Tamandua tetradactyla: one gene and its partners. The protein of the gene in region 1 interacts with the protein of each later gene in a biochemical or structural test. Links are inferred from orthologs where the notes say so. Each region holds a gene or a part of one and is shown on either strand. Other genes may lie near its edges.

The links. The genes of interacting proteins can lie anywhere in the genome.
Region 2: the proteins of DNM2 (region 1) and ITSN1 form a complex in vitro, tested with the Homo sapiens proteins (2 studies listed by BioGRID and IntAct, with this or other methods). The link is inferred for Tamandua tetradactyla from reciprocal best matches to the Homo sapiens genes DNM2 and ITSN1.
Region 3: the proteins of DNM2 (region 1) and SH3GL2 interact in a biophysical measurement, tested with the Homo sapiens proteins (2 studies listed by BioGRID and IntAct, with this or other methods). The link is inferred for Tamandua tetradactyla from reciprocal best matches to the Homo sapiens genes DNM2 and SH3GL2.
Region 4: the proteins of DNM2 (region 1) and SNX9 form a complex in vitro, tested with the Homo sapiens proteins (2 studies listed by BioGRID and IntAct, with this or other methods). The link is inferred for Tamandua tetradactyla from reciprocal best matches to the Homo sapiens genes DNM2 and SNX9.

What each region holds. Positions count from the first base shown.
Region 1 is NC_135337.1:91,083,678-91,090,923, reverse strand, and holds the start of DNM2 (dynamin-2), read left to right. Parts: upstream 1-4,241; 5' UTR 4,242-4,256; coding exon 4,257-4,525; intron 4,526-7,246. UniProt on the Homo sapiens protein: Catalyzes the hydrolysis of GTP and utilizes this energy to mediate vesicle scission at plasma membrane during endocytosis and filament remodeling at many actin structures during organization of the actin cytoskeleton.
Region 2 is NC_135336.1:94,021,236-94,028,376, forward strand, and holds the start of ITSN1 (intersectin-1), read left to right. Parts: upstream 1-4,136; 5' UTR 4,137-4,525; intron 4,526-7,141. UniProt on the Homo sapiens protein: Adapter protein that provides a link between the endocytic membrane traffic and the actin assembly machinery. Acts as a guanine nucleotide exchange factor (GEF) for CDC42, and thereby stimulates actin nucleation mediated by WASL and the ARP2/3 complex.
Region 3 is NC_135328.1:79,631,784-79,638,647, forward strand, and holds the start of SH3GL2 (endophilin-A1), read right to left. Parts: upstream 3,006-6,864; 5' UTR 2,891-3,005; coding exon 2,846-2,890; intron 1-2,845. UniProt on the Homo sapiens protein: Implicated in synaptic vesicle endocytosis. May recruit other proteins to membranes with high curvature. Required for BDNF-dependent dendrite outgrowth.
Region 4 is NC_135328.1:150,460,063-150,467,352, reverse strand, and holds the start of SNX9 (sorting nexin-9), read right to left. Parts: upstream 3,006-7,290; 5' UTR 2,904-3,005; coding exon 2,892-2,903; intron 2,704-2,891; exon of another isoform or gene 833-2,703; coding exon of another isoform or gene 791-832; intron 1-790. UniProt on the Homo sapiens protein: Involved in endocytosis and intracellular vesicle trafficking, both during interphase and at the end of mitosis. Required for efficient progress through mitosis and cytokinesis. Required for normal formation of the cleavage furrow at the end of mitosis.

The DNA of each region.
Region 1 (7,246 bases):
AAGTGGATTTAAAATTACTTTGCCAGGTCTGCCAGGAAAGGCTGTGCCATGGTCATTCCCTGTGGTGCTGGGGGAAGGGTCCCCATCCTGCGGCAGGGGGGCCCTGCACCGACTGCAGCCAGGAATTTGCACCATGGGCTGGGCTTCACCCAACTCCTACTTCAGTCCCGGTGGCAGTCCGGCAGGCTGGGCACACACATCACCCCCACTTGGCAGGCGGAGACACTGAGAGGTAAGTGATGGCCCTTGACCACATTGCCAGGCTGCGGCCGAGCTTTCAGGCTGCAGACTCTGCTCTCTCCCACGACCTGCTCACCGAGCTGTCCCCAGGAGGGAACTAGAACAGCTTCCTGCCTTCAGAGTCCTGCACTGGGTTTCAAAGGCTGAAGCCGGAAAGGGGTTCCTTCCCATCTTTGTTCTGGCCGGGTGTCGTGGTGACCAGGGGTGGGGCCTGGTAGGCGGGTACCAGAACAAGGATGCTTGGGTTGGCAGCTACGTTCACCAACTCGCCACGCCACACCACGCTGGCCTGGCAAGTCCAGGTTGCCCTCCTGCCCGCGGATGCTCTGGGGGAGCAGGTGTGGGGCTGCTGTGAGCTGTGGCCTTGGTTGGGTGACTTAGCCTCTCCAGCCTCAATTTCCCCACCTGACAAGTGGGGTGGGAGAGGGTGAAACGAGAACCTGTGCACCTGCTGTGTACCAGGCACTGTGCTGAGGGCCTGGGAGCTCCTGAGAGATGGGAGTGTAGGTGCCAGGGTGAGAAAAATGGGAACGGAGCCTGCCTGTGTGTGTCTGGGGGGGTGTGTGCTTCGCAGGCATTGGGCCTGGGGGTGTGTTCTAGAAGGTCCGTTGAACCCATGGGTGCCATGTTGGCCCCTGAAAGAATGGTCTGGGACAGGGAGTCTCCATGCAGGGACCCCGGATGCAGAAACGGCCGGCTCAGTGCAGCAAAGAGGCCAGGGTGGAGGAGGGCGTGAGCGTGGGGCTGGGATGGAGGGGAGGCAGAGTGGCCAGGGCTTCTCGGGCCACTGGAAGAAGATGAACTTGTGTTTGACTGTGTTGGAAGCCTGGGGTGGGTTTGAGGCAGGAGTGTGGTATGATCTGGCTTGCACTTTGCAAAGACCTCCCTGGCTCTGGGTGGAGAACCTCTGTGCAGGGCCAGGAGACCGGGTGGTGGTTGCCATCGCCCGCGAGACTTGGCCTAAGAGGGTTGGGATGGAGCAGGGGGAACGGGTGGGCACAGAGGATTCACTGAGAGAGATGGGCTGTAGGGCTTAAGGAAAGGGGGGGGCAGCCTCGGGAGGTAGGTCTGTCCTGCCTCACGAAACACTGTGGGCCGTTCCACCTGGAAGTCCTTTGTGAAGTGGCACCCATTCCCCCAGGAGAGGCTCTGGGAAGGAGGGGGAGGGTGGGAGGGCATGTTAGGCTCCAGAAGCCAGCGTCTTCTCTGCTGTTTTTGAAGGAAGGGCTTATGTTGGAAGGCACTTTTGTTGTTACCCTGGTGACCAGATGGTTCTAGAATGCTGGGGGAAGAGGAGGCACCCCCTGGCTTTCTGTCCCATGTCCTGCATGTTTATGGACTTTCTCGGGGTGGTGATGGTCCCTGACTCATACCCAGAGTTGGGAATGCTTGTGTGGCCATCCGTGGTTCAGTGAGCACTCGCTATGTCCCAGGCGCTGTCTCCTCCCATCCTCACTGCACCCCATTTACAGATGAGAAAACCGAGGCCCACAGTGATATGAGGCCCTGTCCCCAGGTGCATACCGCTGGTGATGGCAGGCCATCTGCTGCAGGGTGGAGCAGACAGGAAAAGCTGCCGGCAAGGAGGAGAATTCTAGGGGACCCAGAGGGTCCCAGAATGCAGGCGGTTTCCCATTCCACTTTGAAAACGCAGTTGGGCTGACCCAGTTGCTTTGGAACTTCTTGGTACAAGTGGGAAGTTACCAAAAAAATCACAAGATAAATATTTGCTTGTTACAAAAGACTGAAATTCAAATCACATGGAAGATTATAAAACTGAAAGTGATATTGACCCCTTTCCCACTTTTACTCCACGGACAACCGCCCTCCAGGGCTTAGAGTATCACCTCGGAGCCTTTTCCGTGCAGGGCAGAAGGCGTGCACATGCATGAAACCCCCCCAGACTGAAGGACACGGTCCATTCTGTGCTTGGCATTTTGCTTTTGGCAGCATGACTTGGATCGCTGCCCAGGCTGGTTCCAGTGTTTATTGAGCCCACTTGCTGCCGATGGACATTTAGGTCACAAACAGATTTTCGTCTGGAAAGTCCAGCCACGAGGAAGGGCAGTCTTTGCCAATACAATCAGTGTGTTCCAGTGCGGAGCCCCCCCACATGGGATGGATTGCCCCGGCCCCCTGCCCTTGGGTTGCTGATATTGTAGTCGGAGATGACAGGTAGAGAGGCAGTGACCCAGTGAAATCCCAGCTAGTGGGCAGCATTGGGTGGAGAAACTGCGGCCAGCAGGCCTCTCTGAGGAGGTGACACTGAGTTGAGTGGGCTTGGGGACAGTTGTTCCAGGCTGTCTGTCCCCTCTGCAGGGGAACAATACCTGCAAAGACCCCGAGCCAGGAGGGGTTTGACCTCCTTGCTGTTCCTGGACCACCAGGGCTGCTGGGGGAGAGTGAGGAGGGGGAGAGGCCCAGGGCAGAAGGTGGTGGGGTAGACTTTGGAGCCTGCGAGTGTTGTGAGCAGGGGAGGGACAGGGCCTGACTCACATCTTATTGAGTTTTGCTTTGATTTCTGAGGGGTGAATGCGTTATATTGGGCGCTGAGGTAAGAACTTTGGAAAGCCTTCCGACTACTCTAAGGCGGATGGCATTGTCCCATTTAACAGATGCAGAAGCTGAGGTCGGAGCTGTGATCTGGGCCAGCCCAGATGATCCTAGAAAGGGAATGGCGGGACCTGGGTTCCATCTGGAGTGTGGAGGGCCCCAGAGCCATAGCCATTCATTGCCATAGGCTACATCCTTCTTTGCTCCTCCTGGCTGAGACAGGAGCTCAAGGGCGGGGCTCTCTGTGGAGGGATTCCTGTGCAGGGAGGAACCCATAGGTGTGGGGGTACGGGGGTGGAGCAGTGTCACAAGTGCAAATGGGACAGCCCAGTGGGCCCTGACCTGCACTCTGATGGGGAGTGGGGGTGGGGGCAGGGCCAGACCTTAGCTCCGTGAAAAATGAATCAGCTGGAAGATGCCAGTTAGGAAGATGTCACTTGAGACGGGTGGTAGTGAGGGAGGGTGTTTCATATTGGGGGTAGGGAGGAGGCAGCCGGTCATGCAGATGCTGCAGGAAGAGGGTTCCATCCTGAGGGTACCGCTGTGCAAAGGCCCTGAGGTAGGACTTTGCTTGGTGTTTGCGGAGCCTGGTGTGGTGAGACTGGAGGGAGTGAGAATTGGGGAGAGTGAGAGGAGGGGACGGGGCAGGTAGAGCAGCACATGATGGGCTTTTGCTCCAGATGAGATGGGAGAAATGGAGGGTTCTCAGCAGGGGAGGCCCGCCCCCCCCCCCCCTCAGGGCTTCACAGGTACTCGCTAGCTGCTGTGGGGCTGGGTGCCTGGGAGCTATGACTGTGTGGGTCCAGGCAAGCGATGATGGCAGCGATGGGGCCTGGGCTTTGGGTGATGGCTTTGTTTGTGGGGACAGTAGGCAGTTCAGGCTTGGTTTGCAGGTGGAACAGCAGGACCTGCTGTGGCTGGGGTGAGGGGTGGGAGGCACCCTGGGTCTCCAGCCTGTGTCAGGTTGTGCCCATCCTGCCTGCGCCTGGGTGGCCACGAGGGTGGGAGATGCTTGTCCTGGAGCTGCTGGACCCTAAGGCCTGGATTCCTGCAGAAAGGTGCTGGGAGGGTTGGGGTCTCAGGGGTGCATGACTGGAAGACCAGGCTCAGGAGGCTGAGCTTTGACCGCTACTCCTGTTCTAGCAAAACCAGAAAGGAGGCCCCTGGGGAGGCGGCGGGGGGAGTCAGCCTCGCTGATATCTCACCCATGTTCTCATCCCAGCTCTGTCCCTTCCCTACGAGTTTCCTGGGGAGGCCCTGGCCCTCTGAGCCTGGTTGACCCATCTGTGAAATGGGGCGGGGGGGGCGGCGTGTGATCCTGGCATCACCCCCTTGGGATTGCTTGAGGATTTCCTGCGCCATTGCCCAGTAAGGGGTTAGAACCCGGCCAGGTGGGCGGCCTGTGCCCTGAGTGGACTTCTCCCGTGGCTGTAGCTGTGCAGAGAGCAGAGCAGGCCATAGTAATGCCCCGTTATGCCCCCTCCCCCGGGCCCCAGCCCAGCCCCTTGGCTGGGTGTGTCCCACTGACTCATTCCTGGTTTCCTTATCTGTTTGTTTTCCCTCTCCTGGAAAGGGCATCCCCACCCTCCTGGGGACTAGAAGTCAAAGGCTCTTCGTGGGGCTTTGCCCTCTGTTCCACACAGCAACTAGACAGCCTCTGCTCTGCCTGCGGTGCCCCCTCCTGGCCGTCCTGGCCTCCCAGCAGGGAGAGCAGACCCATTTTACAGAGCAGGTAAGCTGAGGCTCCGAGAGGGCAACATAGCCCTCACCGGGTCACCCAGCCAGCTGGGCTCCCTGCAGGGATGGGCAGCGTCCTCCTGTCCCTCAGGCAGAGGTGGCAGAGCTGGTCTTGACCTGGCTGCCTGATTCCTGAGCCTGTGTTCATCCTGCTCATGCCCCAGCCACCTCCTGAGCACCTGCTACCTGCCAGCCTCGTCCTGGGAGCTGGGAATCCAGCCATGCCTGTCCCCAGGTGAGGGCCCATTGGAGGCCCTGCTGGTGGGCGTGGGGAAGGGGCCTGCACTTGGGAGAGAGGACTGCAATCCACTATATCTGTGCCTGAGCAGAGACAGGCAGGGCCTGTGGGGAAGGGTTTCCTGGCAGTGGGAAGAGCCCCTGCAAAGGCTTAGAGGCCAGAAGGAGGGCACAGAGACGTAGGGGGCAGGGGGCAGGATTGTGGGTGGTGTGGGCAGGGTGGGGCTGAGGATGAGGGAAGTGGTCAGAGCATGACTGGTCGTGTGGCCTTGTGGGGGCGGGCTGAGGGAAGAGACCTGGAGGCAAGGAGGCTGGGCCTTTTGGTTCAGAAAATAATGTGGAAGGAATCCTCCAGGCTGAAATGATTATAGTGAACACTTACTGAGTGCCTGCTGTGTGCTTGGCCTGTGTTCTGGGTCCTAGTACCCAAATGGGGGGGCGGGGTGCAGACAAGAGCATGCTCGTGCTGCGGAGGGAGTGGAGGGCAGAGAGGGGATTAGAACTGGGACCAGTCCAAGCAGCCCTCTGCCCACTGGGTCTGCCCTTCCTCACCTCCACAGGAGGTGGAGTGGCCCTGTCTGGTGCCCCAGAAACAGACAGGAGAGGCAGAGAGGCCAGCCAAGGTCGTGGAGCCAAGAGGCTGCCCTCTCAGGCAACCTGGCTGCTGTTTGGAAGGAGGTGAGGGGCTGGCCACTCCTGTCCCAGGAGGGTCCTAGGTAACCTCTGGGGCTGGGGGGCAGGGAAGAGGAAGCAGATGGCCAAGGCCTGACCGTGGCCTCCAGATAAGTGGACAGTCAGGGTTCTAGGCAGAGCTGCTTGGGGGGCAGCTTCCTCCCACGCCGGAAGCCCCAGGGTGCGCGCTCTTCTGCCCAGGCCTCTCTGGGCCCCTCGGTCCAGCTGTCCCCTCAGCTCCCCTCCCTGCCGCCACCCCCAGCCCCCCCAGACGGCCTCTCCTGCCTGGCCCCAGCGCTCTCTGGCTTTTCTTGGGCACCACCCGCATGCTTCTGGTCCTCCAAGGCTCCGATTGTCTGTTGTTCTTTGCTGGACTTTGGTGACTTCTGTGGCATCACCATTGTCCCCACGGTGCCTGGCACCACGGCCGGGCCCAGAGCAGTCACAGTGCAGCCCGTGCAGACGCCGGCTGTGCAAAGCCTCGTTGGTCTGGACAGCAGCCCGCGTCTCCCACCCAGCTGCTGGTGGCCCGAGGGGTCAGGTCCGGGGCCTCAGCTGCCCCCGGGAGATGGAGTTAACATCCGGGTCCTGGGGATTTTCGTCAAGGCCAAATGGGCCGACCCGCAGAAGGTTCTCTGCCCTGGGCCTGGCCCAGCGTGTGCTCCCTAGCTGTTGGTTGTGCTTTTTAATGTCATTTTATCTTTTCTTCTTTTGCTTTCGCTATTCTTTTTTAAAGTAATGTTTTGGACTCAGTAATCCACATGCATGCCGCAGAAAGATGTTTGAGAATGTGCAGTGAATCTCCGAGACCCGCATTGACAGGCTTTCGAGTTCTTCACACCTGAGCTGTTATTATTGGGTAACTAATAAGATTATAATCCATGGACAGATTTAACAGTGTGTTCATTTTTTATATTTTTATCTCCACAAGCATGTCCTCCTGAATTTGTTAGCGTTTGTGACCTTCTATTAAGAGTTTAACTTAGATGCAGTAAATCTCATAAATCTGAAGTACACACCTTGGTGGTGGTGGTGTTTTATGAATGAATTCTCATAACTACCAGACAGATCAAGGTAGAGAACTGTCATTGCGGAAAGTTTCCTTTGCGGTCATTTCCCCCAGGGGATCCGCTGCTCTGATTTCTATCACCTTAGACTAGTTTTGCCTGTTAAAGTCTGAGGCCACCCACCATGACTCAGCAAGAGAAACAAGGGCACATGGCCCTAGAAGGGTGCACGCAGGCATGTTCACAGCAGCTTCATTGGTAATGCCCAGAGCAGACAAGCTCAATAAAGCAGGGGCCCCCATGTGATGGACCCCAGTACCTGGCAGGGCACTTGGGACACAGATGCCATCTGGAGGGAGCAAGTGAAGCTGCCTTGGGCCAAGTAACGGTGCCCACCTCCTCGTTGTCTCCGCTGCAGGGACCCCCCATTCTCCAGATTGCCTGCGACTTGTGCCGCCTTGGTCCGTTTCTTCCTAACCCCCATGCCTGCTCACTGCCACAGTGCCTTCTTGGCTCCTCCTGCCCCGTTGCGCCCATCACACTGTGTGCGTCTGTGTCCCCAGTACCTCCACCCAGTCTGGAGGGAACGAGTGTGTGACCGTAGTCTGCCAAATGGGAATGATGGGCCAACTCCGAGTGTCAGCGTCAGATGCAGCACTTGTACCCTGAGCTCTCGGGAGCACACATGACCCGTTGCACTCGGGGTATGGGGGTCTGGCTGTGCCGCCCCTTGGGGCTTGCGTGGATTCTCCAGGCTGTCTCTGCCTTTGCTCAGTTCCTCTCCCGGTCTTCTCCTTCTG
Region 2 (7,141 bases), on another chromosome or scaffold:
ATTTTAAGGAAATTAAAATGTCAAGCAAATAAGCTACAGAAAAACAAACGGAGTTAACTCCGAAATGTTACCCCATCCACTCAGGTCATCAGTTCAGGCTCTGGCCAGCTGCATCTCCAATGCTCTATTCCCCATCCCACCTTAGGACTGGTGAACAGCATGATACTCGTTAGAGTTTTAGGGTGAAATTTTCACTTATATTTTGATCACTTGGGAAGAGGTGACAATATTAAGTTTGAACAATGTTTTAATTAACCTGTGAGATTTTTCATATATATCCACAAATCAGAAAAAGATATCTGTCCAAATATTTGGTTAAAAAATATGGTCAGCATAATCAAAATCAACAAAGAGGAGGTTTGGTTCAAGTAACACTTTGCAGGCTGTAGAGAATGGTCACCCTAACTAGATATGCCAACTCTGTTACTTAAATCAAAGAGGGAGGGGAATAGTCTTAACTGCCGGAAAACTTCTGAGCCTGGTGTAGGAAACTTTTCTGTCTTTAGAAATCTGTAAACTCTAAGGAGACTGTACAAGCAGTGACCCAAGGTGATATTGTTTTGCTGCATACAATTGCACTGCTGTTACAAAATGGCACAGGGGACCCTGTCTCGCTTGTATCTAACTGAACTCTAGAGTGGTCTATTTCAGGAAGGACTTAAACAGAGCCTGGGTAAGCACTTATGGAGGCTTCTTAAAGGGGATTCAAGCATCAGTTGAGGGGGAGAGGGTGCTGAGAGGACCATTAAGGTCTCTTCTAATTATGGCAATCTAGGTTCTTATGAACATTAAGATATATTTGACTGAATGGATACACATGTGGCATAACCTATATTTTTATGCAACCTGATACAAAAATGGATGAAAGGGTGAAAAAGCAGAAAAGGAAAAATATTCTTTTTGATATGAGCTTTAGGCAGAAGGAAAACAGGCAACTGCTTAGAAAGGATGTCAAATTCTTTTTCTCTGTGCAATGGCGGTTCCCAGCATGTACTTAGTGGCCCCTTAAAAATAGCAGAAAATTCATGACTTTAATCCCTTCCCCACAATAACTGTTTTTACTTTTATTATCTGTTCATGTATAAAACACATTTTCACTTGGAATCTAGGATTTCTTACATGAGGCACTCTCCTGCCAGCAGCTCTGGGGATGCGGTGCAATCGGAGGTGGGTGGAGAGGTGGTGGGATGGTCCTTTTATCCAGTTTGTAATCATAAAATGGTCAGGTTACTAGTGTTCACTGTAGGGCCATTTAACATTTTATGATCCAGAACAACAGAAACTTAACTTTCTCTTACATTACATTACTCAGTACCATATATTCCCGTATGCTATCATTGGGGAATGACAGTAGGAGGGACAGTTTTCTCTTTCTGTTTTACTCATGTAACACAGGGACATTATAGGTGGAGTGTGGTGGTGTTGAGGGTGACAAGCAATTGAGGGATCCTTCCTATTTGTCACCAAACTTCTCTCCCTTCAGCTGCTAACATTACAGCAGACTGTATTATTTAATTTTCCAATTCACAATAAAATATTGCGGAAACAAATCTTGCTTCAGGTGCAAAATATGATTTACGTTCAGTTGAATATTCACAATAACTGCAAAATCAACAGAAAATAATTCCATAGAAGATGTATCATTTATTATAATGTATAAAAAATAGAAAATTATTTTGCAAAATACTGTAGTTTATTATGGGTGGATACATGTGTCTATTCTTGCTCCTCTACTCAAAAAACTCTTAGTTCAAGGGAGTACTGTTCACTGGGTCTAGAAAGAGCACAAATAACTTTTCTAATGTCTCTGAAAATAGTCTTCATGAAGATCACAGGCTAAGGACAAGAAATTTACTTTTTAACCAATTTTTAAAAGAACAGAGTTCAAAAATAAAATCACTGTGATTCCATTAAGAGCATTTTTAGAATTCCCAGGTTCAGCGGCCCCACCTCCTTCTTCAAGGCGATACACAAATTAATCAAGACTCATTCCTGGGCCAGGGGCCCAAGCAACTAACTTTGCTTTCAAATGCACAGCATGCAAAGTTGTGAAACTACCAAAATATTTCACTGCACCTGACAGGCAGCTTGATTTTGTAGGGGGGAGTCCACTCCACTGAAAATACAAACATCTGAATCCCTCCCATAATAAGCTAGAGCAATGAAGTAAGATTAGCAGCAAAAGGTAATAATTATATACTGCAGGGGTAGGTAGATAGGATGAAGAAATTATTAAATGACTGAAGTTTGAATCCTGGCTCCCCTACTAACTAGATTTGACCCTAGGCTACCTTCTTTTAATCTTGTTGGGCCCTAGTTTCCCCATGTATAAAAAGGAATAATAATAGTAGTTACCTCAGTGGGTTGCTGTGTGCATTACACAATACATGCAAGGCCCTCAGTACAATACCTGGCATAAAATAAGCATTCAATAAATGTTCGTTATTTCACTATTATTTCTGTAAATTGGGCAGAGAACCTCAAGGTAGTTCTGAACCCATCCATCTCATCAGCAAAGGGTTTGGTCAAGTGCAACCTGACCTTTTCAGTTGCTATTATATCATCTGCACCTCTGCTATCCAATCACAGTAGTCAATAGCCACACGTGGCTGGCTACTGAACACCTGAAATGTGTTCAACTGGAATTGAGACGTGCTGTTAAGTGTAAAAGATACACCGGATTTTTAAGACTTAGTAGGAAAGTAAATTAAAGCAAAACATCTCAATAAGTTTTAACATCGATTACGAGTTGAAATTGTATTTTGGGCATGTTGACTTAAATGAATAATATATTATTAAAATTTATTTCATGTGTTTCTTTATACTTTTTTTTTTAATGTGGCCACTAGAAAATTTAAAATTACCTAAGTGGCTCGCATTATATCTATCTGTACTGGACAAAACTGATGGAGAACCTAATGTGGAACGGCGGCCCCTGGGCGCTTGGTAGAAAAGCAGACTCTCGGATCCGCTCCCGACCTACAGAACCAGTACTTGTACCTTAACAAGGTCCTCCGGCGATTTTTAAGCATCAGCTGTTTACCTTAAAGAAGTGGGCAAGGGCGGCCTTTTAACCACATAAATGGAAATACGCTCTGGTAACTGTTTAGCGAATAAGAGAGCAAGCGGAGGGAGAGAAGCAGTAGGGGCGGGGGGGAAAAAAAAGAAAAGAAAAATTAAATGAACAAAAAAAATAGAGGGGAAACATCCAATCTGCGAGACAAATGGAACATCCAGGCCTCTGCGTCCAGAAGAGGGGAGGGAAATGCAAAGTGAAATAAAACCTGCAATTAGTAACCTGTGAAGGGCCAGGAAATTGCCCGTGAAATCAATCAAGCCCTACCCGCCCCTCTGCGGCCTTAGCTTATTAGCTAGGCCTGGACGTAAGCGGGTCTGAGGCTGGGCCGCGACGTGAATCACCGTCCTCCCGGAGCTGACGGTTCCGCGCTGCGCCTCTCGACCTTTTACCAAAACCCCGATTTCCAAGCCGACACAGAGCGTTTCCCGGGACTCACCTGCCTCTAAGCCGCCCCAACCGCCTGCGCCTTCGCCACAGCCACCTTCCAGGGCTTTCGCAGACAGGCCGCACCTTTGGACCAAGGCGCTGTTCCTATTGGCCACCTCGTTCGTCACTCCTACGGGGCTGAGCCGGACTCCCGAAGGCTGTCCAGAACGCCCTAGCAACCGAACTGGGAACTACAATTCCCGGTATGCTCAGCTCGTGAGTTGTGGTCGCCTCAACGAGTTCCATTTTATGCAAATTTAAATCGAAAGACCACACCCTTCCTCATTCCAATCGTATCTCCTAGAGCCTTCCTCAAATTGTGCCTTGCCTCCCTTTTGTCGCCATAATTTTCTCCCCTTTAAAGCCTTCTGTAATTAAGTTAGTTGGATACACCCTATCTAGTGTTTCGAACGGCAACGGACAGAAGCACAAAAATCTCCATAAATGTCGACAGTAAATGCCCGGACCAGAAGCCTCCAGTTACGCCTTCGTGGAGGGGGCGGGACGAAAGAGAATCCTACGCCCGCCCCATTTGAGAATGCTGATTGGTTTATTCGGCTGTCGCTCCTACCTTTTCCAGTTTCCCGGCTCCCCCACCTTTCGCTCCCGTGGCGGGCGGGGCTAGCGATAGGGAGCGTGAAGAGGGGAGGACCCCTTCTTATGATTGGTAGGCTAGATGTCCCCGCCCACCTATGGGCGGAGATGTGGGTGGGTAGATAGGTGGGGGGGTGAGGCCGACGGAGAAGAAGAGATAGGCGGGGGCGAGGGAGGGAGCGAAGGAGCGAAGGAGCAAAGGAGGGAGAGGAGCAGAGGAGCGAAGGGAGGAGGGATCGCAGCTTGGTTGCTCCGTAGTACGGCGGCTCGCTAGGGAGAATCCCGTGCGGGCTCCGGGACGCACGGATCGGCAGGCGGGCGGGCGGGGATGTTGTGCGGGGTTGTGGCTCCTGAGTCCATCCGCGCTGCGGGTGAGCTGCACTGATTTGTCCCCAGGGCGGCAGCGCGGACCCGCCTGGAGATGAGGTGAGGAGCGGGCTGGACTGCGGCGGCCTGGACCGCGGGAGGCGGCGGCGGGGGTCGGCGCGATGGCCGCCCGGGGCGCCCTACCCACGGCCGGCGCGCGTTCCTGCCGGCCACCCTTCGCCCTCTGCCGCGCGCTGGGGAGGTGCGGCGCCGGCCGTGCTCCGCCTAGTTCTTCCCGGTCCTCCCTGGGGCCGCGGCGGGGCGGCCGGCTGACCGGCGCCGGGGACCCGTGGGGGTGGCGGCCGCGGGACGGACTTCGCGGGGAGTGGGCGCCCTCAGCCCTGGCCGGCGAGCGACCTCCGTCCTTGAGGGGCGTCGGGGGCGGTGGGTCCTTCCAGGGCTGACCTCGCTGCCCTCGGCCGCCGGAGTGTGGCGGGTTGGCGGAGCCTCACCTCCCCGCCAGCCTCCCGGGGAAGCGGGACGCACGGGGAACGGTATCTTGCTGCCCGCCTCTCTCACCGCCTCTCCGGCCTCGCGCCGTCGGCTCATGCCTTCTCCTCCTGCCTCGTGCGCCTGCAGAATCCCTGTCATTGAAGGGCAGTCAATGCCGTTTGGCCCCAAGCCTCCCTGCCTGGGCTGACTGATGGTATTTAACCAAAATCAGCTCCCTTTCCAGTGCCACTTCGCCTTCCCTCCTTTACGCACAGACAGGGTCTTATGGTGTGACCTCTAAGGCACGACTGCGGTCTTTTCTTGCCTGAACTAAACGAGGAAATGTAATTAGAGTCCCCAGGAAAAGGAAACCAACGAGGAAGAGGCTGTACCTTCCTTCGCTCTGTCTTTGGATGAGAAGATAACTTCGTAGATTGCATTTCCTACGGGCATCTTTTGTCGTGATTCAGACGCTGAAGAAAGCTTTGCTTTTGAAGAAATAGATTAGCGGTTTCTGTAATTGAGTATGAGGCGGTGGAGATTTTTGATTGCCTCAAATATGAAAGTTTTCTTAAAAACTTTGCCGTCATCGGTGCTATTCTGAAAGCAGCATCCACCTGAAAATTTAAATGTATGCAGACTTGCGTTTCTTTGTGCCCATCTGTTGGCATCCTGCTCTTACTACTTTCGTGGTCAAAAAGTATTGATTTAAAAGCAAGTATAATAAAAGCTACAGATAATAAAAAACAAGTACAATAACAAACACATGCCATCTGGAAGATGTAGCAGGGAGGCAGTTTTACTAATCCGGTTGAACCTATGAAGAAACAGGCTCAGAGATCTTATTATGGGTTTTGTAGAGGACAGGGTCTGAGGGCTAGAAGTGGGCCAGGGTCCCAGCAGGTCAACTGCTTTGCGTGGTGCTACTCTTAACCCCTAAAATAATGGTAAATGTATTTGTTGGGTTTTTATTTTTAGATGACTTTAAAGTTGATAGTGCAGAAGCTTAAAGGCATCTCAAAATTATTCCATCTCTGAGAACAAATACTATGTTTAATTTTTTTTTTACTTGAAATATTTAGGTTGTTTCGATGGGTGATTGCTTATAAATAAAAACTTTTTTTTTTTAAGTATTGAAGAACTCTTTCTGCATGAAGGTTTGCAAAGAACCCAGGAATTTTAAAGTAATCTAAGTTAATAAATGAGGGACACTAATTTGGTGATGGCATTAAAATTATTTCAAATTCCTTTAAGTAGCTCCAGGAATGGGCATTTCTGATAGAAATTGCTAAGGCACGTGGTACCTTCACAAGACTCTATTATCATTCTGCCTGAGTAAGAGGAAATGAACACATTTTTAATGTACTTTGGAACCCTGTGGATTGTTCAGATACTAAGCATTGTGAAATAGGGCATAAAATGAGTACTAATAAGTTAGTTCCATGAAATGTTTGTCACTCAGCATTTTTTTTTTTTGCAGTTCACTAGGAATTTCCTTTTTCTTAATACTTATCTCTAATATTGGTAGATTTCTGCTAAGCTTACTGTTTCCCCAGATGCTTAGTTTGAGAAACTCAAATCTGTAAGAGATTAAGGAGGAGGTGCTGGTAAATTCCTCTACTCTTACCTGTCTTCTTAATTTACTAAATTTGTGAATTATAGAACATTATATTACTGAGGACAGCTCACATTCCACTATTGTAGAGCTTTCTTAAGCTTTTTGTTTCTTCTAAATGATCAATCCCTTCTTACTCACTTAACTGTTTGAATTTCTCAGTGTCTGGACCTCTCAGCTTACTTACCTCAGCGTTAACTCAGGTATGTGTTAAAACAAAACAGGTTTCTGTCCTGAGCTCAGAATCAGCCTACCTGGGAGTAGGGCCCTGGAATCAGTATTTTCAACAAGTTCTCCAGGAATTTTTCTTGTATGGTGAAGTTGGAGAGCTATTGGCGTTGCATCCCATCCTCACTGAACACCTCCTAAATTTTATTTGGTTTTTTAGGACACTTAGAACCATGTTCTGAAGTGTATAACGTGCCAGAATAAGTTATATACCTTAGGCTGCGAGTAGAAACCTTTTGACTGTGATTGCCATCTTGGTAGTGTTCCTGTAATACACCTTTCGGAAGGTCAGAGACTGTCTGGCTCACCAAGTATCTCTGCTTCCTAGCAGAGTGCCTGGAGTAACTCATTTAAATTCCTGTTGAGTAAAGAAAGGAGTGAAGGACGGACATCACAGTAAA
Region 3 (6,864 bases), on another chromosome or scaffold:
AGGCCAATAAAATTTATTTGGTAAAAGCATATTTTCACCTCCAAATAGTAGAGATCTGGAAAATAATTATTAGCAACAAAGTAGGAATAATCACTTTAAATGAAAAGAGAACAGTTGTGACATGTCTTAATTAGAGATTTAAAATTAGTTATGCAAACACTGCAGGTATGCTGCTTTATTAATACAAATACCACCTCTCACTAACATAAGGAAATAACTCGTTAAGAGAAAGGTCTGCCTAATGAGGGGCTTCCACTTATAAATAGAGGCTCTAGTCGAACATGTCCAGTGTTTTCTTAAAAAATAAATGTCAATTCTCAGAAGAAAACAGTTTCAAGTCTTAAGGCCTCCTTTGCAGATGAAATGAGGTTTACGGAATTTCATACAAAAAGTGGCTACGAAAGTAGGACATAGACATTTCCCCTACTATCCCCATAATGTGCAAAAATTAGCACCGACTTTACACACCCTTCAAAATACAAATATACGCACACCAAAAGCAAACTTTGCCTTGGGCTTTCTAAGATTCTGCTACCCTAGGGTATGGACAAAAAAACTGTGCGTTCTTTCCCTTGAAAATGAAAAGTTTTTCAATAAAAAGAAAATGATGCAACTAACTCTGCATCTGATATGATAAATAATAATCCAATTCTATAACAAGCAAAGCTCCAAACATCTAAGAAGTTCTTTTGTAAGTCGATTCAAATTTTTATTCTAACTTTAAAGCTATACTTCAGAATTTAGCTGAATTTGAACCATTTGATTATTTCTGTTAAGTTAGCACAATAAAAATTCCTGTTTCAATAATTTCCTCATTATTTTCATTTTCTCATTAATAAAATAAAAAATCATATTTTATACTAATAAAATCACTTACTGTTAATAGCTATCATTTACTGAACACTTTTTATGTGTGGTCTATAAACTCTTTTATCCTTACATCAACTCAAGGAAATCCTCATTTCATCAATGACCAATTCAGAAGTTAAATAACTTGCTCAGTATCAGAGATAACCAAAGTGGGATTCAAACCTTAGCCTTTCCCACTCCAAAGCCAAGGTTCCTCATTACCTCTTTTTAGGCACCAAGCTTTGCAAAGGAAAACCATAGAATCAACATAAAGATGGATGTGGTGTTGGTAAATGCAGTGCTGAGGTTCATTTTAGAGAAGTGGCTGGTATCTGAAATAAAAAGTCAGTGACATCAAAGAAGCCTTGCCTAGGAATTTACAGGCAGCGTATATACTGTTTCTGTGCACCAGAAATAATTTTTTATTAGAGAAGTTGTAGTATTACAGAAAATGCATAAAATACAGAGTTCCCATAATACCTCACTATTATTAATACCTTGCATTAATGTGATACCTGTTACAATTCAAGAAAGATTTTTATAATTGTACTATAGGCCATCATTTACATTAGTGTTGACACCTGAAAGAATTTGAAGTATAAGGTTGTTAGAGGTCTCCCAAAATATAACAATGCTCTTACATTTAAAACATGTCTGACAGAGAGCTCACAGAAAGCTTCAATCTGAAAAGCAAAATAATTATGTTAATGGATATTTTCCCAATATAGTCTTATTTCCCAGATTTCCCAAACTGATGGATATAACGAGCTGATTCTACAAAGTCAAGCCTACTGTGACAGAGATGGCAGGCACACACGCACAAAAACACAAACCCAAGTTGACTTTCATGCATCTGTCACCCTAACTTAATCAAGGTTCTACAAAACTCATCCTCAACATTTCTGGACGTGCTTTATAATAGGGTTGCCATTGCCGCTGCCTGGGGAAAACCTCATTTCTTCTAAAAAAAATTATGGTAAAGCTAATAATGGCTAAGTTACAAAAAATACATAAGGTTAAATTGTGGGAAATATTTAAAGATAAAGTTCTTAACCAAAGGTCCCTTTGACTGAATTTGTTTCAGAAGAATAAGGAAAAAAAGGTAATCATACACATTATATAAGAAAGAGGTCACATCAAAAGCATTCACTTATAATTCCTAGGTAACATCCTTCATCTTAGCCCAATGAGTTTTAATAAACTTAGAACCTGAATTAAATAAATTTCATTACAATCACAGCTTATTAGCCCCACAGAGGAAAACAAGCACATTCAAGACGTAAAAAAACTCACTAATAACAATACTTTAAAAATACATCATTTTAAGACTTCAATAATCTTAATGCAAAACGCAGGGTAAATTGTAGTCAAGCACACTGCTGGTCAAGCTTGGGCCTCCAAGGAGTTTCACGACTGAGTTTTCCAGAGAGAAGTTAACACAAGAACTTGCCATTCCTCTGGAGACAGAAAACGACGTGGAAGGAGGGATTCAGGGACCTCTGGGGAAGAGCGCGGACCGCGGGCATCTCGGCAGCCGTCCTCAGTGCCGGGCAGTCGCCCACGCCAACACATCGCGGGGCAGCCGGGCGCACCCACACCGCAAGGTCAGTGGGAAACAGGCGACTTTACATAATCTCCCGCCGCGCCTCCGAGCACCTGCGCGCCGCGGCGGCGGGGTAACCGCGGCCCCCTCCCCTCCCCCGCGTGGCTGCGGGGGCGGCGCACCAAGGCGGTAGCCCGAGACCCCGCGGGCGCCCGCAGAGTCCCGCCAGGGTGGGGGTGGGGAGCAGGGGGAGGGGGAAGCGGGGGCGAGAAGGGCTCCTAGCCGCGGGATGTTCGGCGGCCACCGCCGCGGAGGGCACTGCGGACCGCGGCCGGAGCAGGCTCAGCGCCGGGCCGACGACGTCCCCACAGTTCCGCCAGGCGGCGAGCGCCGAGCGCGCCCTTCGCAGCTCCGCCCGGGACCGCCCCGCGACACACCTGTCAAGCGCCTTACCTGAGTGGCTTTGTGGAACTGCTTCTTGAGCCCGGCCACCGACATGGTGCGGGAGGACGTCCGCGCAGCTGCGGGAAGGAAACGGCGACGGTGGAACTAGGCAGGAAAGCCGAGCGGGGCGGCGCGCTCGCTGGGCCGCCGCTAGTCCGCCGCCGCCAGGGCTGTGGGCGCGGGGGCGCGGAGCGGCGCGGGACGCGGGCTCGTGCGGAGAGACACCCTGACGTCAGGGGCGGGTGATGCGGCTTCTTAAGGGGGACGCGGGAAGCCCCGCCCCGGGAGCGGGGTTGGGCGGGCAGGTGCTGCGGCTCTCGGTACCTGGGCCCTGGCGCCCGCCGCGGGGATCTGGGGTCGCGGGACCTGCGGGCCGACTGCGTGGTCAGAGGGCAGGGGACGCTGTTCTCCCGCCTTGGAGGATGGCGTTCGTCACCCCGCGGACGGTAGACAGGTAGCCGCAACTAGGCAGCGCAGGCAGAGATTCTTTTCAGTTCCTTGCTGGGCTTTCAGGTAGCCGCTGCGGCGCTGCCTGCCTCCTGCCCTCCTGCCCTTTGAACCTGGTCTCTGCAACCTGGAAAGGAGTGATAAGTCATTGCTCCTTCTCGCTTTGCCCCGCGGGATTGGTCACAGAAAAATTTCAATATCCCCTAAGCCTACATCCACGTGAAGGGAAATCACCAATGTCATCTTGGTATGAATCAATGTAATGACTTAAGAAACAATTTTAAAAACAACAACTGTAAAGCTGGCCAGGTAAATAGAATTGAATTGGGGTATTACTACAGTAATAACATTTAATCCTCTGTGTACAAAAATTTAAAAGCCTGAGTATAATCTTGCCGTCCTTGCAATTGTGGGAATGGATTTAGGGTTTTCAATCTAAAATAAGCAGTATATAATGTGGAAAAGCATGATACTATACTGTACAAATATATATGTAACAAAATATGTATGCCTGGGCAAAGCAAAACTGATGGAATTTCATGAATTGGGAGCGGAGAAGCACAAATACCTTTTGTGTTCTGGTAATTAACCCCTCTCTCTGTTTTTTTCTGGAACTAAGGAGCTTATAGGAAATCATTTTAATGCTGGCTCTATATGGATGTCCAACTAATAGAGAGGACAAGCCAGAGAGATGCTATAAAAGGGGACCCCTGAGAGAAATTGCCAAGGATGAGTAAGGAGATAACATAGCAGGCTAGGAGTCCTAGAAACACCATTAACTGCCTCCACAGCCCTTGCTGTATTGTAGGAAGCTCATATCTATCCAGAGCTACCTTCTACACACAGCTGCTTGAGCACAAGCCGGGCATCTGACACAAGGGCATCCTCTTCATTGCTGGGCTACCAGTCATAGTTCTTCTTGACACTGGAACCTGAAACTCATGAAGGCAGAGTCAAGCAGATAGTGGTGGATACTGGAGCAGTAAGAGCACGTGTACTCTTGACCCAGTTTGCAGAGAGAAGCAGAAGAAAGAAACAGATCTCAGGGTGGGTGGTAGCCTTTACTTACATGCATGTACCTTCCAAGTACATGAAACAATTGCACTTTCCAAATCCCTTCTGGTTAGGTTGGGCACTGTGACAGGTGTTGATTTGTGGGTTAGGAGGGAAAGTGACTGTCACTTCTTAGCAGGAAATTTATGAGAGCAGTCATAGTTCTCTTTTTCTCTGCAACAATATTCCAAATAGTTAACCAGTCTAGATAATCAAGATCCAGAGTGAGGATAAAGAAGGGCAGAGTACCCAGCTCATGCTCACTGGATATTTAGCATGAGTGAGGAAAATTAAAAAAAAAAACAAAACAACAAAGAAAAAACACTTGTAGTTTTAATCCACTGAGTCTAGGGTTATTAGGCATTGCTTCAAAATTAGTCTATCCTGACTGCTGCACTGAGAAAGAATACTTTTCCATAGGCAGTGGTGGGAGAATTTCCAGGTTCTCCCATGGCCTGGGTGTATCTTAATTTTTGTTCTTAGGTGTCCGTGGGGTTGCCAGTTTCATTCTTACAAAATGTCTCACTAAGTTTGGATAGATGCATTCTCTTTCCTGCAGCCAAGGATACCCTCAATGAAGTGGTGGGCAGACTCAGCCCCAGGGCCTGAGTATCAGGAGGAGTTGAGGCACAAGGTACATGAGCTGACGGTACCTTGACCCCTTAGCCCACATTTTCCTTACTGGCTGCACAAGAATAGTAAGCTCTGGCAATCCACAAGGAATTCTAAGGGAGTATCAGGGCAAGGGATGATCTGGTCCAGAGAAACTCTAGACAGGGAAAGATTTAAGTCCTTCCTGTAGACAGGTGGAGTTACTGATCATTGAAATCCCAGACAAACTTAAGGTGACCTTGCTGAGGCCCAAGAGATGATATGCCTAGGGAACATATACTTACATATATAAATAAGATTCACCTTGGTGATTCTTAGATTCTTGACATTAGTAAACACAGCAAGACTTGGTCTAACTACATAGATAAGTAGGTGGTGCTCTCAGCTAGAGATTTGAGGGTTACTCTTATGATGGCTGTATTAGTACTCTACATGTTGGTGAGGACTGCCTACATTCACACACACACACTCCTTAAATAGGCTACCAAGAAATGCCAAATTGCCAAAAGTGATTGAGCTAATAGAGCAGTAGTTTTCAAACTTGAGAGTACATCAGAATTCCTTGGAGGGCTTGTCAAAGTGTGCTGGGTCACTTCCCCAGAGTTTCTGATTCATTATGTCTAGTGTGGGCCCAAGAATTTACCTTTTTAACAAGTTCCAAGATGATGCTGATACTCTAGTCTGGAAACCACACTTGGAGAACCACTCAGGGAAAGTAGGGATCTTAAGAGTGAATTTTTGCTGTTTTCTCCCCCCCCCCCCCCCAAATCCTTAAAGGTTTTCCCATTACTTGCATAATAGAAAAAATATTTTATAGTTAATTTTTCCTAAATGGTCCCAGATCTGTATAATGGAACATATTCATAAAAGGGTCGGCCTAAGTTAGAGCTGCCCAGAATAAAGCAATTCAAAAGTGGAGGAGCCTGGGATTTATGAACTCTGGTCTTTAACTGTGGAAAGTTTGAAATGGGGATCTGCAGAGTCTCCCCAGACTGAATACTGACCTGGAAACTAAATTAAAGACAAGTCTCTGTCTTTCCCTGTTTCTTCATCCACAAACTTAGAAGTCTTATCCTGTTATACTTCAAAGAAGCTACCCTAGGAGAAGGGACTAATTAAAGCCTTTAAATCCTTTTGAAACCCTGCCTAACTCTCCAAAGTATCCTCTGGATCTCATCTAATTCCAGTATTTCTATGGAAGACACAATTTATAATTAATACGTACCTTTGAGATGTTATCTTTGAAAGAGATTTATTAAGCTCCTCCGACTGGCAGTCATCACAGTAGGAGGTGTTGGAGGATGGTAAGGGAACACCCCAAGATATATAGACAGGACGTTGAACCATAAGAAGTTTCCAGAGCTGTAATTGTGGACACCTTTCTTACGGACATTTATTGTGACTTAAATACTGAGGAACAAATGCACCAGACAATAAAAATTCCTAAACATGGGTGCTCTTTTCTTTGATTGCAAAGAAGCTGTGACAGAGGCTCTAAGGAGAAATCCAAAAGTACAATATGGGGAAAGGAAATCAAAGGTCAATGAGGAAGAAATTTGTTTGATAAAGGTTGTTGTAATTCAATACACTGCCATATAATCTTTTTAGATAAAAATCAATGGACAATAAACCTAGATCCACTCAAGAAAGCCCTAATTAAATGAAACTCCTATACAGCACTGCCTCACTAACTGGACAGTAAATTCATGGTCAGCAGTAATTCCATCACATCATTCATGCACTACTTCTCCTTGCATTATGCCAGATCTTCTGGCAAATACCAGACTTCTAGTTTGCACAGAGATACTGCATCCTGGCACTTCTCTGAGGGTCCTGAGTTCCTAGAAGACAGGAAATACACCAGCCTTAAGCTTTCTGCCCCTCAATCCCTGCCACCACTTCTCTGGCCCACACCA
Region 4 (7,290 bases), on another chromosome or scaffold:
GAAGGGACTGAGGCAAGAAAACTCAACACTCATTCTTGTAATAACCGTCTATCAAGAGACTCCTCTGTGCCAGTCACTGAAAATTCAAAGGTAAGCAGAGTGCCAGCCAGCCTCCTGGGGCTTACAGTATCCTAAAGGAGAAAGCCATTACCATAGAAAAATTGTAAAACTGCAGTCAAGACAAGATCTTTAAGATGAAGTACAGGAATTATGTGAAACCAGCTAGGGGTCAGGGTGGTCAGTAAAGTCAGGAACTTTAAGTGCACACCATATGATTGAGTTGAAATATTAACCGTCTAAGGTTTCTAATAGACGTTAAGACTAAAACACACTCATTAGCCTTTCACCATACTTGTTAAAAGAGACATGATTGGACTCAGAGTGGTATTCACGGAATTCACCATTCCCCAGAATAAGGATTAAGAGCAAAGAAACAAAGAGCAGATAACTTGTAAAATATGCAGTAAATGATTAACTTTCTTCAGCAGTAAAGAATTGCCCAATTGAAATTTTTATCTCCTTTTTACTATTGTGAATCTACCAGTGGAGTTTTTAAAAATTCTGACAGTTTAAAGATAATTGTATCTTCAAGAAAACACATAAAAACAATAAATAAGAAAATTATATCTGAAAAGAACAGAAATAATTCTCTGGGAAAAAGTCAAAGGGAAACCCAGCACTAATATATCCAGATGTTGAATTTATATGTTCTCACTTAATGCCTGTGTAGCCGAAGCCTAAGTGCCAAATGAACCTAAAATTTTGTCAAAAGTTAATCATTACTACTTACCAGGCATATCCTCTCCAGCCATAACCCCACTCCCACCCCCATTAAAGAATGAGAAGGGAAAAAACCCGAACTCCTCCAACGTGGGGGCCCCCAAACACGACTTCACTCTCAGGCGCTGAAAAATGGGACTTTGTTTTGACACAAGAATCACCAGGAAGTAGGAAAACCAGAAAACTGAGGAAGGATCCTTTTTTAATAAGCGCCTTTCTTTTCAAACCTACAATATACATATTTGCTGTTCTTTTTCTTAGAATGGAAATGGTTTGTCACATGCAGATGAGAGTGATTAGGGCGGTAAAAGAAACTAGAGCCAGAATTACTGTAATTTGCCTTAGGAGTACTGTAGATAATAAAGCAGGAAGTGTTGATTCAAGTTTTAAGGCTTCTATTTCATGAGTACACACGCAATTCAAATTTAGTTACAAGAATCAGTGTTCTTTTCAATGGTGCTCAAACTTAAAATTCAGGCTCAAGTATAAAATAAAATTTTCATTATGTATACCTGCAATAGTTGCTAAGCTGGATTCCACTTAAAAGGAAGTTCACGTAACATGCATCAGATCAGTCAGTGTGGAAAATACCACAACATTATGACCACCACCGAATAGATCTGTCATAACCAGAGCTTATAAAGTGGCAAGATGAGTGTTAAAGAGGATGTGTAACTAGTAATTTCTGGAATGTTTGATAACAGACCTCAAAGGCAAATCCTTAGAAATCCTAAACTCGAGTTAAGTTTTGCCTTTATACAGGTCAACACGAAATTAATGAGTCAAAAACATAGTAAGTCCTATCACATCTATTAAGACCGAGGAACAAAAGTAGTCGGTAATACATTAACAAGATAATTATTTTAGTTACAACAGACAGCACGTTTGCTGGTGGTGAATATTCATCTTTCTATATATTCCTACAGGAATCCAGAACACGAAATTTAACAGACTGGTATGAAATCAGACAATTCTGATTCCTCAAAGAGATGTCAAATATTTTATCACTTTTCTAAGTATACCTCTCCCCCAAATAAAACCCAAACCAAAAAAAAAGAGGCTTTTACCAATTACAGAAGGAGTTTAAGAGATTTCAAAAGGAATACCGAAAGCGTGCTGATTTTATAGCTGACATTATAACAACAATCTGCAAAAGTAAATCCATTCTCCATACTAGTCACGTTCAATATCTCACCTACCTAGGAGCCTTCTACCCTAAGTCCTCATTCAGGGAAAATGGCTTTACCTGCCATATTTGCCCATCAAGAAATTACTGAAAAACAACCCCAAGAATCGGGAGCCAGGGGAGGGTGGCTTTTGTTGACTCAGTTGTAAAAATGCGACTACTAATTTCACAAATACACTAAAATAAGCAAACTAATACCCATGGTCAATTAGCAAGCGCAAGTCAAAGTTCCACCACGTAATTCGGGCCTGGGCCTTTTTTCACGCAAATGCGTTATCAAAAGCCCAGTCATTTCCCTCTATGTTTTATTCATGTTGGAAAGACCATTCAAACTGAAAATGTAGCCAAACAAAAGAAAATTAAAACACAAAAACAAAAACAAAAGGGCGTTGAAGTACGGAGTGTTTCATTTTAGTGTTTCCTCCCAGGTAGCAAGCTTTCCCAGGCCTGAGAGTAAAATAGCAACTCCCCGCTGCGCGGCTTCGGGGACCCCCGACCCCCCACCTCCGCCCCTCGTGCTGCGGGTCCCACTCTTGGGGCAGGGAGATGAAACGCGCTCCTCTCCGCTTCTGCCTGCGAAATAGCGCGACGGGGAAGTGAAATTGTTAAGTCCCACGACTGAGCCGTGCGCCGAGGGAACTGCCCGGGCTCGGGAATTCTCCAGTCCTCCTTCCCTCAGCGCTGCCCGCCCGGCCCGAAACACCCGCAGACGGAAACTTTGCGAAGGACGACGCGCTAGGGCCGGGGCGACCCGGACCCTCCTCAGCTTGGGTCCCGCCTGCGCCCCTGCTGCGCGCCCGGAGCGGACCCCGCGCGCACCCCTACTCCGCAACCCCGCCCGCCCGCCCCGCGGAACCGAGCCGTGGCGCGGCCTCTCTGTCTCCCCCGCGGTCCCCGACCCAAACCCGCGCCTCGCTCCCCTCACCTTAGTGGCCATGGCGGGCGGGTCTCCCGGCCCGGGACGGCCCGGCTTTTCTCCCGCGTCGCGGTTGCGCGGCCCTTGCCAGACAGGCGAGGACGGCGGCGGCTCCGGCTGGGCCCCGACGCGGCGCGGGCGGCGGCTCTGCCTCGGCCGGGAGTCTTGACGCTCAGGCCCCGCCGCTCGGTGACTCCGGCCGCCGCCCGCTCCGGCAGATCCTGAAACGCCGCGGCTGTCGGTTCACCGCGGTGCGGCGCAGCGCGGTCGGCGGAAGCGCGCCCGGTGCCCTCAGCTGCGGCCCGGCCTCCTCGCCCACTTTTCCGCCCCCGCCCGGAGCCTCCCCGCCCCGGCGGCCGCCGCCGCCGCCGCTTCGGGCGCCCTTTGTTCGGGCCCCCGGGGGCCGCTTCCCCGACTCGGGGCTGGGGTGGGCGGTGCAGGCCGCGGGCCCTGCCCGCGCTCCGCATGATCGCCACGCATTGAACGTGGCGTAGAGTAAACGTGGTGTAGTAAAGATGTGCTTTGGCGTCTCGACCCTGGCCAATGGAGCCAGGAACAGACCTTGAGTCACACCCGGGTGGGTTTAAGGTGGACGTGAGCGAGGCAGGAGTGTTGCCATAATAACCACATAAGCCCCCCAGGGCAGGGTGGGAGTTACCCCGGGTCTTTGTTCCGGGTCGGCATTGCTCTGGGGTCGGTAGTGCTCAGAGCTGAGTAAAATGAATGCTAAGTAAACAGCTAGGGAGGAGAAGGGCAATGGCTACCTTGAGGAGTGGCCCTGATAGGAAGTTCTTCCTCCAGCCTGGAGTTTTACCGCAGGTTCTGGTCCCCTTTAGAGTTTCTAGGCCGAGACACTTGGGGATTGCATTGTGAGATGGCCCATTAACTTCCTTCTTGGTAAATTAAAAACTGTCTAAGCACCCCCAGGGGTTTTGGAGGGACACAACAGGTTACCTGAAGGTCTTATAAAGTTTTCCGTTTTCTAGGGGGAGAGTCAAAATGGTTTTCTTCGGAGTTGGATTCACTCAAGTACAGAACACATGACTGAAAAATAAATCTTGATTGGAATAATACATTCTTCTAATCTGAAATATTTTGTTTTCATTATCAGGGGTATATATGATAAAATCAACTTTATTAGGCTAGGAAAGCAATATTTAGAGTTACTGTCAAATGTGTGTCCTCTTGAGAATATTCTATTTAACCTCCAGAGGAGATTCCATTTAGTTATAGTAAATAATGGGGTTTTAAATGTGTATAGTGCTACAGAATTTTCAGTGGAATTTGTGTTTGCTGAGCTCAGGGCCAAAGTTGTAGTTATGGTAATGTTCATAAATGGAGACTAACATTCATGAAAAGCTTCCTTGCTATAGCTAGGCTTTTATATGCCTTAATCTCATTTAATGCTTATAGGGAACTATTGAGCAAGTCATCGTTCACTACTAACATATATGAGGAAGAAATCAAGCCTCAGTTAGAGAGCTTGCCCTTTCTGATTATACCTGTCAAAATAGAAAATGACCATAACCTTGGATCCAGCAATTCTACATCTAGGAATTTATCCTCCCATCAAACTTGCACAAGTGAGCAAGATAATGAACTAAACATTGTTGTGTAATAATCCCAAATAGAAAGCAACATATATGTTTGTTAATAAGAGTGCATTAATATGACTCATCCACACAAATGAGGTACAAGAACAGCCCTTAACAGTATTTTAAGGGTGTTAATAAAGGTAAAAAGAACATTATACATAGTATAATCCATTTGTATAAAAACATGGATGTTGTTTATGCCTAGAAAATTTCTGAAAAGATTCATAAGATGCTATTAGTTGTCAGAATGTTACCATGTATATGGATTACTTTACACTGAAAACAAATTTACATTTGAATAAACAAATATATAGCTTAACTAAGCACATACTAATATATGGCAAAGTCAGGATGTGAACTCAGATGATATTGTGAGTAATGACTACCGTTGTCTTTTTTTGTTGTTATTTTTGTTTGTTTGCTTCTTTTTTTTTTTTTTTTACCATAGTCCTTTAAATTTGAAAGCAGGATACAACTCCCTGTAGCAGTTCTACAATGCATGTTTTGATAGCAAAGTATAACCTCAGTGTGCCATGAATGTAGACCTTTCAGCATGCTCAATTGGGAGGTCTGGGCACCTGCCACCAAGAAAGCAGGAAGACCAGAGCGTCCAAGCTTTTCCCACTTGAACGTTTTCTATAGACCTGACTTCATTCTTAGAAGAAACCACGGATATCCCAAACTCATGATGACCGATGCAAATTAATGCACATATTAAAATAAGATTGAAATCACTCCCAGTATTACTGAGGTAGTAAAACCACCTAGGCATCGTTTTAGAGGTTCCAGAAGTACAGTCATTGCTGTCGTCTTTGGATGAACTTGCTCTCAAAGCCCATCTCACAGCTTCTGGAGCCCTCTGCTTCAACCTCATTGACCTCTCATTCCTCCTGAGCAACGTGCTTCCTTGCACAGAGAGGACCAAGACAGATTTCACAGACATTCAGCCTGTGCAGTCGCACAGAATCCTGTGCTTAGATGATTCCTGGCTTCGTTTAATGCCGCCTTTCACTATCTTCCATATCTTAATAGTTAAGTAAAATAAAATGCATTGTGCACTGCGTGAGGAACCCCTGCAGGAGCTTTCCAAAAAATGAAACAATGGAGTGCACCCTACAGAACTGCAGATAAGCAACACCTGCTGAGAAAAACAGGTCCAGGAGAGAGAGCTTACAATCTGATAAGTATTGACAAATATACTATGCTAATCAATGCATATCTGTACCCCCTTTGTGAGACCACCCAATATAAAATGGAAACTTAACATCAGCCAATCAGAACATATCCCCACTTGCTTCCACCTTTTGCTCTGTATAAGCTCCACCTTTCTACCTCTTAGGGGAACTCATTCCCTTCTTTCTGGATGAGATGCTGCCTGATTCATAAATCGTTCAATAAATCCATGAGATCCTAAATTTAATGTTGTTGTAAAGTTTTTCTTTTATCATAGGCTTTGAACAAGGGGCCTCACATTTCATTTTGCACTGGGCCCCAAAAATCATATAACAGATCCTGGCAAGGGCATTATACTGTTTCTTTGTTTGAACTAGTCCCCCTCTTCCTACCCTGTCCCCCACCCCCACCTCCCATTTATCCTTTAGAATGTGGCTAAAGTGTCAGCAGTTACCTCAGTTACTCAGGGAAATCATACCCGATCTCAGTATAAGTTAACTTCTTATATAGTTAACTTATAAGAAGGATATAAGGTACATAGTACTGGTTTCCTTGTAGTTGGAAACTTATCTCAGTTTGTAATTCAAGTGATTATTTGCCTGTCTCCTCCACCAGACTGTAAGTTTAAGAGAAGAGGATCCGTGTCAGTTCTCTTACCATGGTATCTCCAAACTCTAGGACAACACTCACAGCAAATCACCACTGAGTATTTGTTAAATGAATGAATAAATGAATAAGAGGAGTTGAGCAATCACAAATTAAGCAATATAGCATTGCCAAAATATACTCTCAAGGAACTCACATGATTCTGTGGAACACAGTTTTAAATCTACTGTCTATATTATTACCTAATTTAGTATGAAACATTGCACAAGTTTTTCCAAGTTTCACTACTCAATATTTTTTTTTTAATTCTCGATAGAAGCGATACTCTATGAAATTTTATAAAGCAAATTGATTTTGGCAATGTATATGAAAATGTAATTGCTACATTTTACTAATATTTCCTGGACAACTAGTGCCCAATATATTATTAAAAATGCAGTAAATAGAGGTTTTAACTCTTTTCACAATCCCTTCAGTATGGCTTATCATTGAGGTACGCATGTTTCTCTCTGGTGTACTTGCCAGTTGTTGGTTGGCATTTGTCTTGGATGTAATTGCCAAATTACATTATAATAAAGGTCCAATCCCCCCAATTATAGGCACAGAAACGAGGTCAAGGAGGTTCAGTGATTTACCCAAGGCCACATATTAATCCAGGGCAGGGACAAGAGCCCACTCTGTATCATGGGTCTCCAAAACATGTCATTTTCAAACTAAAAATATTTTAGGTGAGAGGTTTTGAAGCAAGGTGCAAGAAGGCCTCAAGAGATCACTGTCAAAACGGGAGAAGGGCTCTGGTCTAAACTATGCTGGGAGCTACTACTCAGTTTCACCTGTCTGCACTGAAAGAACAGAAGCCTAACATCTTTTCATCACATCCCACAATGTTCAGCTGCCTGGTGGAGCAGTGGCTTCTCCAAACTAGAAAGTAGTCATCATGCTGATGTTCCAGTTTGCTAAAGTTGCTGGAATAGAATATACCAGAAATGGATTGGCTTTCTTTTTTTAATTTTTTTATTAATTTTTAAATTAAA